Linked DNA regions of Coturnix japonica. The protein of the gene in region 1 interacts with the protein of each later gene in a biochemical or structural test. Links are inferred from orthologs where the notes say so. Each region holds a gene or a part of one and is shown on either strand. Other genes may lie near its edges.

Region 1 (3,590 bases):
GAATCAGGGCAGGCACTGGGCACAGGGCTGTGACCTTGCTGCTCCATCCTGCCCTTGACCGCTCAGTTAATCCGCAGCTGGATTAGCTCAGGCACGCTAACAATCCGTGTGGGCTCCCAGCTGGAATTAAGGTGGCTTTGCTGCAGTTAATTCAGGATGGAATTTGTTCTGTTTCAGGGCTCTGCCCACACCTGCGTCCCACGGCCCTGCATGAGCAGCCCTGGCTCTGTGCTGCCCTGGAAGTGGTGTGTGGAGCTCTGACCCCATTCCCACAGGTGCCCGTCCTCCCTCTCCTCTGCACTTATGATCCCATCCCCCAGCCTCCATCCACGCAGCTATCTGGATAAAAGCACTGAAAACTCTTCCTTGCTCTGTCTGAGAAGCCATCAGCAGTGAAGGACCATGAAGCACCGTCCTGTTCTAGGCAGCACCAAGAAGCATTTCCCAGTAGGGCAGGGATGCTGATCCTCCCTTCCTGCTTGTGAACTAATGGCAGACTTCCTGGCTCACTCCTGAAGAGAAAATAGAGGAGAAGGATGATGGTGCAGTTGGGTTTGCAACCAAAATCAGTTTTATGCTTCTCCCCTTTTTTTCCACCAGAATAAAAGCTGAAACAGACCAAAGCCATTATAGTGAGTTACAAGAAGCACAAGGTCAGCTTATTACTCTGCTCTGGAAAATAACCTTGCTGTTCATCAGTATGATGTGACTGTGGCTTGCACAAAATGGTCTTGGAAACACCTATGCAAGATGTGCTGAACACAACAGCACTGCAGTTCTGATGTGGGACATCACTGTGCCTGACAGGAACATGATCTGGTGTGGGACGGGCAGTGGTAGAAGGGAACTGGGCTGACCTTGAGCCGTTCTGCTTCCCAAACCAGAGCCCAGCCTTTACCAAACCTCCTGGTGACCAAACACCTTTCCATGCCCATTCTTTTTCTGGGTTCTGGAATGAACCTGACCCATGGCTTTGTAATTTTGTGCAGTTATCGAGTTGGAAATGAACTGCAGTCAGAGCTTGGGAGCTGGAGCAGCCAAGGGGCTGAACCTGCACATATCAAACCATTCAACACCTTTTATACTTTCCAGATACTTTTCTATGTTCCTGCTTTTTCCTCCCCCCCCACCCCTCCCATCCTGCATTATATGCATGTTTCTGCCTTCTGTAGATAGCTTTGCATTATCAAAGGGCAATGGGAGAAAAGAAGAAATTGTCGCTGCATTTAGCATTGATTTTTCCCCCTTCACTCTGAGTCACATAAGCTAACATTTAATTAATTTCTGACACTTTGACAGTTTTTAAGAAGACATTTGTAGAGCTATCAAGTGCCGCTGATAGCACTGTCAGACAGACACTTTTTGAATTATCAGCTATTAAGGACCCATATGCAACAAATTTTCAGGGTTTATTATACAAATTGTTCTCTGAATGAAGAAAGCGCACAAAAGCTCAGTGAAACATAAGGAAACCATTGTTCCCAAGTGAATTTGATATTTGCAAATGTTTTGCTATTTTGATCACTTACGTGATTCTATAAATCTAATTCGCTTTGTCTTTTAGTGAGGAAATTAAATGGCCTTTTTAAGGGTCTGTTGAGAACGTGGCTGGATTTTCAAATCACGCTGGTCTTTATGGAGGTGCAGCTTGGCAAAAATGAAACAGGTGATCTCAGGAAGCGCTGAGAAGTGAAACAAGGTCCATTTCTAAACTGAAACTCCTAAACAAATAGTCAGAACTTCCAGCTGCCTTTAAACAGCTCTTGCCTTTATTCTTTGACTGCACCCTCTGACATGTCCCCCCTTTTCTTCATGTAATGACTGCTACTGATAGTCCAGACTGCAGAAATCTGGGGGAATTAACCCAAAATGGAAATGAACTTCCCAAATCCTTGCCCAGGTATCTGACTATCAGCTCAAGCAGTGCTCTGGATGTCCGTAGCACTACCATTCAGCAGCCATCTGCACATGGGAATTCAGGAGCAAGGCCGCGTGCGCATGGTCATTTTGGTTTTATTTTACATGTCAATATTTGTCTGTTTTTCCAACATCTTTGTGCAGAGTGGAGCTGGGACCTGGCAAGCTCATCTTCATGGATCCCCTAAACCTTTCCTGGTACAACAGTGACACTGGGGACAGGAACTGGAGCAAGCCGCTCAACGAGTCCAGTGCAGACCAGAAGCCTCAGTATAACTACTATGCTGTGCTGCTCACCCTCCTCATCTTTGTCATTGTGTTTGGCAATGTGTTGGTCTGCATGGCTGTGTCCAGGGAGAAAGCCCTGCAGACCACCACCAATTACCTGATCGTCAGCCTGGCAGTGGCGGATCTCCTGGTGGCCACACTGGTCATGCCCTGGGTGGTCTATCTGGAGGTAGGTGACCAGCTTTTCCTCCCAGTACTGAATGGTTCTGGTAAAGGAGTTCCGAGGGGGAAGGTTTAGCAAATTGGACGTCAGCTATTTCCAGACCTCCAGAATTTCCCCAGAAGTGTTTTTAGGGAGAATGTATCCTTGGAAAGAGTAGTCAGGCATTGGATCAGGCTGCCCAGGGAAGTGGTGGAGTCACCATCACTGGAGGTGTTTGAAGAAATGGTAGATGTAGTGTGGAGGGATGTGGTCAGTGGGTAGTATTGGTGGTAGGTTGGACGAGATGATGTTAGAGGTCTTTTCCAACCTTAATAATTCTAAGATTCTTTGTTTTAAATTTTGTAATAGTCGAGTTATTAAATGAACAGACATGATAGCAGATGACAGGTTCACTTGAAAACATGCTATTGTTCAGAAGGCTGAATTACCACCCAATAGCATTGAAATTTTGGCCTATAAATCCAGGGATCAAGAGTGAAAGATCTCAAGTTTGTTTTCAAGACCGCACCAACAATCTGTACATTCCCAAGCACAAGAATGAGCCTAAAACAACATCATGAGGGTCACAGTAAAACTGCACAGAGCAGTAATCAGAAACCTATTCCTGAAGGACTGCAGTAGTAAGAAGAGCAAGCAGTTGTAGAAGTAGGTTGTAAATCCAGAGCTTTTATGTCACAATATATAAGAGAAACAGACTCCCAAGTGAGCTACTTGTCACATTACTGCCGTTAGCATGTCTCTTCGGTACAAAAGAGCTCTATGCTTCTGCAGCACCGAGCCATACTTGAGTGGCACATTGTTTTAAGAAAGCCAAATACTCCAAAATACTGCTTACCCGGCAGCGAAGGGCTCTTGCAACAGTAAACAGCACAAAAGAATGAAATAAGCCTCTAGAGGAAAGAGTGGAGCAGCAGAAGCTGTTCTTCCCCCTGTCCTTGGCTGGGATGGCTGCATTCCTCAAACAGCCAAGAGCTGGGATGCTGGCGACCGACAGAGAAAGCATAAGACTGGAACTACACCAAATTTGCAATTCATTTTCAGGCATTTCATTAGGAGAGGAAATGATAAAACAGAGGCAAGCAATGGAAGAAGCCATAATCAATCAGCTCGTTAAGTATTAATGCAAGGCAAAACAAACCCGCTGATGTGACACGGGCTGTCGAGAAGCCACAATACTAATTATCACTCCAGTTAATTATTGTTTGTGTGGCACTTTAAAAAT
Region 2 (4,327 bases), on another chromosome or scaffold:
GTTTCTTTGGGAGCTGAGCCTGCAGGCTCCGCTGCTGCGCCCGTTTACCCGATGACCTGATTTGTTTTCCTCCTCCTCGCCGTGTTCCGTCTAAAACCACGCTATCTACAATGAACTCAAACAGCAGCAGCCCACGCTGGAGAGCTGCTGGGGTCCGTGTCACCGCTCTTGGCTGATTCCCGAGCCCTGTAGGGTCCTGTTGGTGCTGCCCCCAACCCCATCTCCTTGTGCTCAGGAGCCGTAGCACTGCAGCAGTGAGGGCAGGTTGGGATGGGACGGGCTCAGTGCGCTGCCCGCTGCGGTTCTTACACCAGGAAATTGAACTCATTCCGCTGGAATTTTTTTTCCCCCTCCCTCTCAAAGCAGCAGCTGTTTGGGGGGTTGGCTGTGCCAGTTCAACCCTGAGCTGCTGCCTCTGCTTTCCTTCGGCTTTTCTTCTGCCTGACTCAGGATCGTTAAGCATTAACCTTAAAATAGCCGCTCTTTTTGCAGCCGATACAATTAATCTCGTGTGTGTGTGCTCCTTCCTCCCCCACGCTTTGAGCCCTCCCCGCTGCTGCCCTGTTCCTGGGGCACAAGGAAGCCCAAAAGGAACAGATCGCTCTGTCCCAGCCCTGCACGGCTCTGCCCACCCGCAGCTCCCGCTGTGTTGGTTTTGGGGCTGCATTCTGCTGCCTCCCAGCAACTGCCACCGGTGCTGTTATTTAAGCAATGGCAAGGTTCAAGCTAATAATTAGAGAAAGTGGATGGCTCGCACAGTTCCCAATTACTTTTCTCCTCTCCTCGGTGAGATCTGAGCTCTCTATTCAGTTCTCTCGGTGATGGAGGCAGGGGAGAGTTTTAAATAGAATTAAATCCCTTTCGCATCGCAGAGCTCGTGCTGAAATGCCTGATCTATGCGGGGCCGGTTGGGACTGTGGCTTGTTCTCTGGTTGCTCTGCACATACACACAGACACACACACAGCAACACAGCCCTGCTGCAACACGGTCACAGCTCGGCGCAAAGGAGAGCATTGCAAAGATGGGCGTTTTGCTGGAAGGAAGGGGATGCACGGGGCCTTTTGCAAGCAGGAGGGTCTTTGTCCCCCAAAAGCCTGCAGCCCCGCAGACAGGTTTAACCGTATCCAAGCAGAGATATGTGCTTTCTTCCTCCTGGCTGTTGTTATAGGAGCACGGCGTGTCCGGGCAGCTCCTGCGGGGCCTGCGTTGCAACACGGGCTGGAATTGAGCCGCGTTTATCGTGTGCATCACGCTGCGTTGGGGGGCATCCAGCCCTGCCTGGGTTTGAGGTGGGGAAAACGGCTTCTGGTGCCACGGCCCGGCTGGGTGCATCGCTCACTGCACGATGAATGAAGGCTCGTAGCGGGGATCCCGGCGTGAGAGCGGGGAGCCGGCACCGGGGGGAGGGAGGAGGGAGGAGGGGGCCATTGTGCATCCGGGTGCGTCCCCCCAAGGTCACTCCCACCCCGCAGCTCCCTCTGCGCTCACACCGCCGCCTCTCTCCCTCCGCATCCTCCGGCCCTTGGCGAGCATCCCCCCCTCCCACCTCCGCCCTACAAGAGCCCGCTCCCTCCTCCTTCTCTCCCATTGAGCTCCGGCGGCGTCGGGCCGAGAGCTGCGGGCCCCCCCTCCCGCACCCCAACCCTCGGAGGGAGGGGAGGGAGCGCGGAGGGAGCGCGGAGAGGGGCGGGAGCGGCCGCGCGGAGGCGCAGAGCGGCCCCGCATCTCCGCAGCCCCGAAGCCCGGCAACAAAGAGCGCAGCGCTCCGCTCCTCCCCGGGATGTAGGGCCCTCCGTGCCCCGCTCCCGGCCCCGCAGCCCTCCATGCCCCCGAGCTGAGCCCGTTCCGCATCGCCATGGGGAAATCCAACAGCAAGTTGAAGCCTGAAGTTGTGGAGGAGCTGACCAGGAAAACGTACTGTGAGTGCATAGCGGGGGCTGACCGCGGTGTGAACGGGGGGGGGGAGGAGGGTTGGGAAGGGGGGAGAGGATTTGGGGCTGGAGGGGGCGATGGGGGGAGCGGCGGTTGCGCCCCGCGGATGCTCGCGGGGTTGCGGGTACCGCGGTGGGGTCGGCCCCTCCCGCAGCGCGCAGACTCAGCCCCGGCTTTGTTGGGAGAAGGAGGAGGGAGAAAACATGGAGCGGGGCAGGCAGGCAGGCAGGGCAGCGCGGGGCTCCCCGCACACGCTGCACTCCGCCGCCTATTGCTCAGCATCCGACACCGCGGCACCGGGGCCGCATCCTTCTCCCCCCTCCCCCGGCTGCCGTACCCCGACCCCCCCCGGCCCCACTCCGCAGCCCCGGACGCTCCGACCCCTTTGGGGCAGCGCTGCCCCCGCGGCTCCCGAAGTTCGGTGCCGTTCCTGTGTCGTTTCGCTCCGTGCCCCGCTCTACGGGTCTCTGCTTTAACTCCCCGAGCCGGCTCCTTTCCCCTCGGATCCTCCGCTGTCCCCTCACTCTCGCGGCCGATGCCCGAACCATCCGCTTTGAGCCAAACCTCCTTTATTTTGCTCCGTTCTGAAGGATGCGCGGAGGAAACAAAGGCTCCGCTGCTCCCAATTCCCCTCCCCGTTCACCCCCCTTTGCTTTAAGCTCACAACCGGCTCCGTGCCCCGCCAGACCTGCAAGCGTTCCCGCTGTCATTGCTGCAGTCCCACGGCAGCGCTTACCCAAAAAGGCAATAGATGAGGATGCAGCGTGTTCTCCCATACGGAGAGGAGGCATCGCTGGTGCATTGCACACCCCCGCACTCGGGGCTGCTCCTTGTCACCGTGCAGAGGGAGGGGGGCACAGCCCCGGAGCTCAGCTCGGCTCTGAGCAGTGATGCTGCATTGGGCATTTTGCACCACTCCGTGCTGGGAAGGTGCTGCCCTATAGGGCACATGGGCTGCAGGACCTGCTGGCACCCGTTGTAGTGAATGCACGTCCTCTCTGCTGGATGAGGCCGGCACAGGGTTGTGGCCTTGTGGCTCCAACTTTGTGCCCCTCCTGGGTGCCCTCCCCAAAGCCCCCCGTCCTCATTGCACCCAGGTTGTGTGTGTCTGCTCTGTGCCTCCCCATCAGGACAGCACATGGCTGTGCCCCCCCAGCAGTGCACGGTGCCCATCGACTGCAGCCATCCCTAATGCTGGGCTCAGTTTGTTGAGCTCATTCCACTGCTCGTGTCTGAATTACTTTTGCTGAGTGCTTCTGGCCCTGGACAGGTGTTGGCAGGGAGCTGATGGTGGAGAGATACCTTCATCCCAGGGATGTGCCCATGATGTTGAGAGCTGTGGTTGCACTATGGGCAGCATTTCTCCCACGGTGTGATTTCCTTCTGTTGCATCATTTTCTGTTTGCTTGAGCTGTGCTGACCCAGGTGCCCATAGTGCTATGGGGGGAACCAGAGAAGGCTCAACCCACCTGGCAGCCCAGGTCCCATCCACGAGAGGGGCCAACACAGAATAATAATGAATAATAAATTCTGTAATTCTTTGTGCTTCCACAGAGCCTTTCATCTGAAAGCTCTTGGAGTGCTTCATTGTCATGGTGGTGGTGGCTCATGGAGTGTTGGGTGCTGCACTGAGTGTCCCAGGAGGTGCTGGTGGGGCTCCAGGAGCTGCCATCCCAGCAGGGTTTTGGGTTATGGTTGTTCTGCTCACAGTGTGGGGTTGGGGTTGGGATTTGGGAATGTTGGGAGTTGAATTTGTTTGGTTGAGATCAAAAGGTTCTGCCGTGAAGATCTTGGGATGCAGGAAAGGTTGTGTCCAAGTCTTGAATGCAGGTGGATGACAGATGATGGGCTCAGGTTGTGAAGGTTCAGGCTGAAGGTAAAGGCTTCCCCAGCCTTAATGGTTCTCTGGTGCAAAGCACTTGTGTGCAGTTGTAGTTGCTTCCATGGGACTGAAACACTCGTGTTGGGGTCCTTTGGACCTTAACCCCAACCGTGTCCCACTCCCTGCTCTCTCTTTAGTGAACTTTCAGCTCACTTTGGGACTTTCTGCTCTTCTACAATGAACCACAAAATTGGCTCCGCTGCGTGCCAGTAATGCCTTGAATTAATGGCCATTAGATTCAGAGCAACCTACAAACAGATCGATTTGGAGTTACGGGGGACGCAGCGGCTGGCTCAGTTCTGTGGGGAAAAGAGTGAAAATGCTCCAGTTTTCAGGCTGAGCTCCTCACTGCCCTGCCCTGACTCTGCCCTGCCAAGTGTTGGGGTGTCAGCCCCATCCCCTGCCCCGTGTCCATGGGAGGACAGTGGCTGGTGGCACTTTGGGCCTCGCTGCGACTGCACTGGGAGCATCACATTTCACAGATCCCCTGACACGTTAATGGATCTGCTTAA

What was found. The genes of interacting proteins can lie anywhere in the genome.
Region 2: the proteins of DRD2 (region 1) and NCS1 form a complex in vitro, tested with the Homo sapiens proteins (2 studies listed by BioGRID, with this or other methods). The link is inferred for Coturnix japonica from reciprocal best matches to the Homo sapiens genes DRD2 and NCS1.

Annotation. Positions count from the first base shown.
Region 1 is NC_029539.1:4,993,044-4,996,633, forward strand, and holds part of DRD2 (D(2) dopamine receptor), read left to right. Parts: intron 1-2,061; 5' UTR 2,062-2,092; coding exon 2,093-2,374; intron 2,375-3,590. UniProt on the Homo sapiens protein: Dopamine receptor whose activity is mediated by G proteins which inhibit adenylyl cyclase. Positively regulates postnatal regression of retinal hyaloid vessels via suppression of VEGFR2/KDR activity, downstream of OPN5.
Region 2 is NC_029532.1:4,462,496-4,466,822, forward strand, and holds the start of NCS1 (neuronal calcium sensor 1), read left to right. Parts: upstream 1-1,449; 5' UTR 1,450-1,856; coding exon 1,857-1,920; intron 1,921-4,327. UniProt on the Homo sapiens protein: Neuronal calcium sensor, regulator of G protein-coupled receptor phosphorylation in a calcium dependent manner. Directly regulates GRK1 (RHOK), but not GRK2 to GRK5. Can substitute for calmodulin. Stimulates PI4KB kinase activity.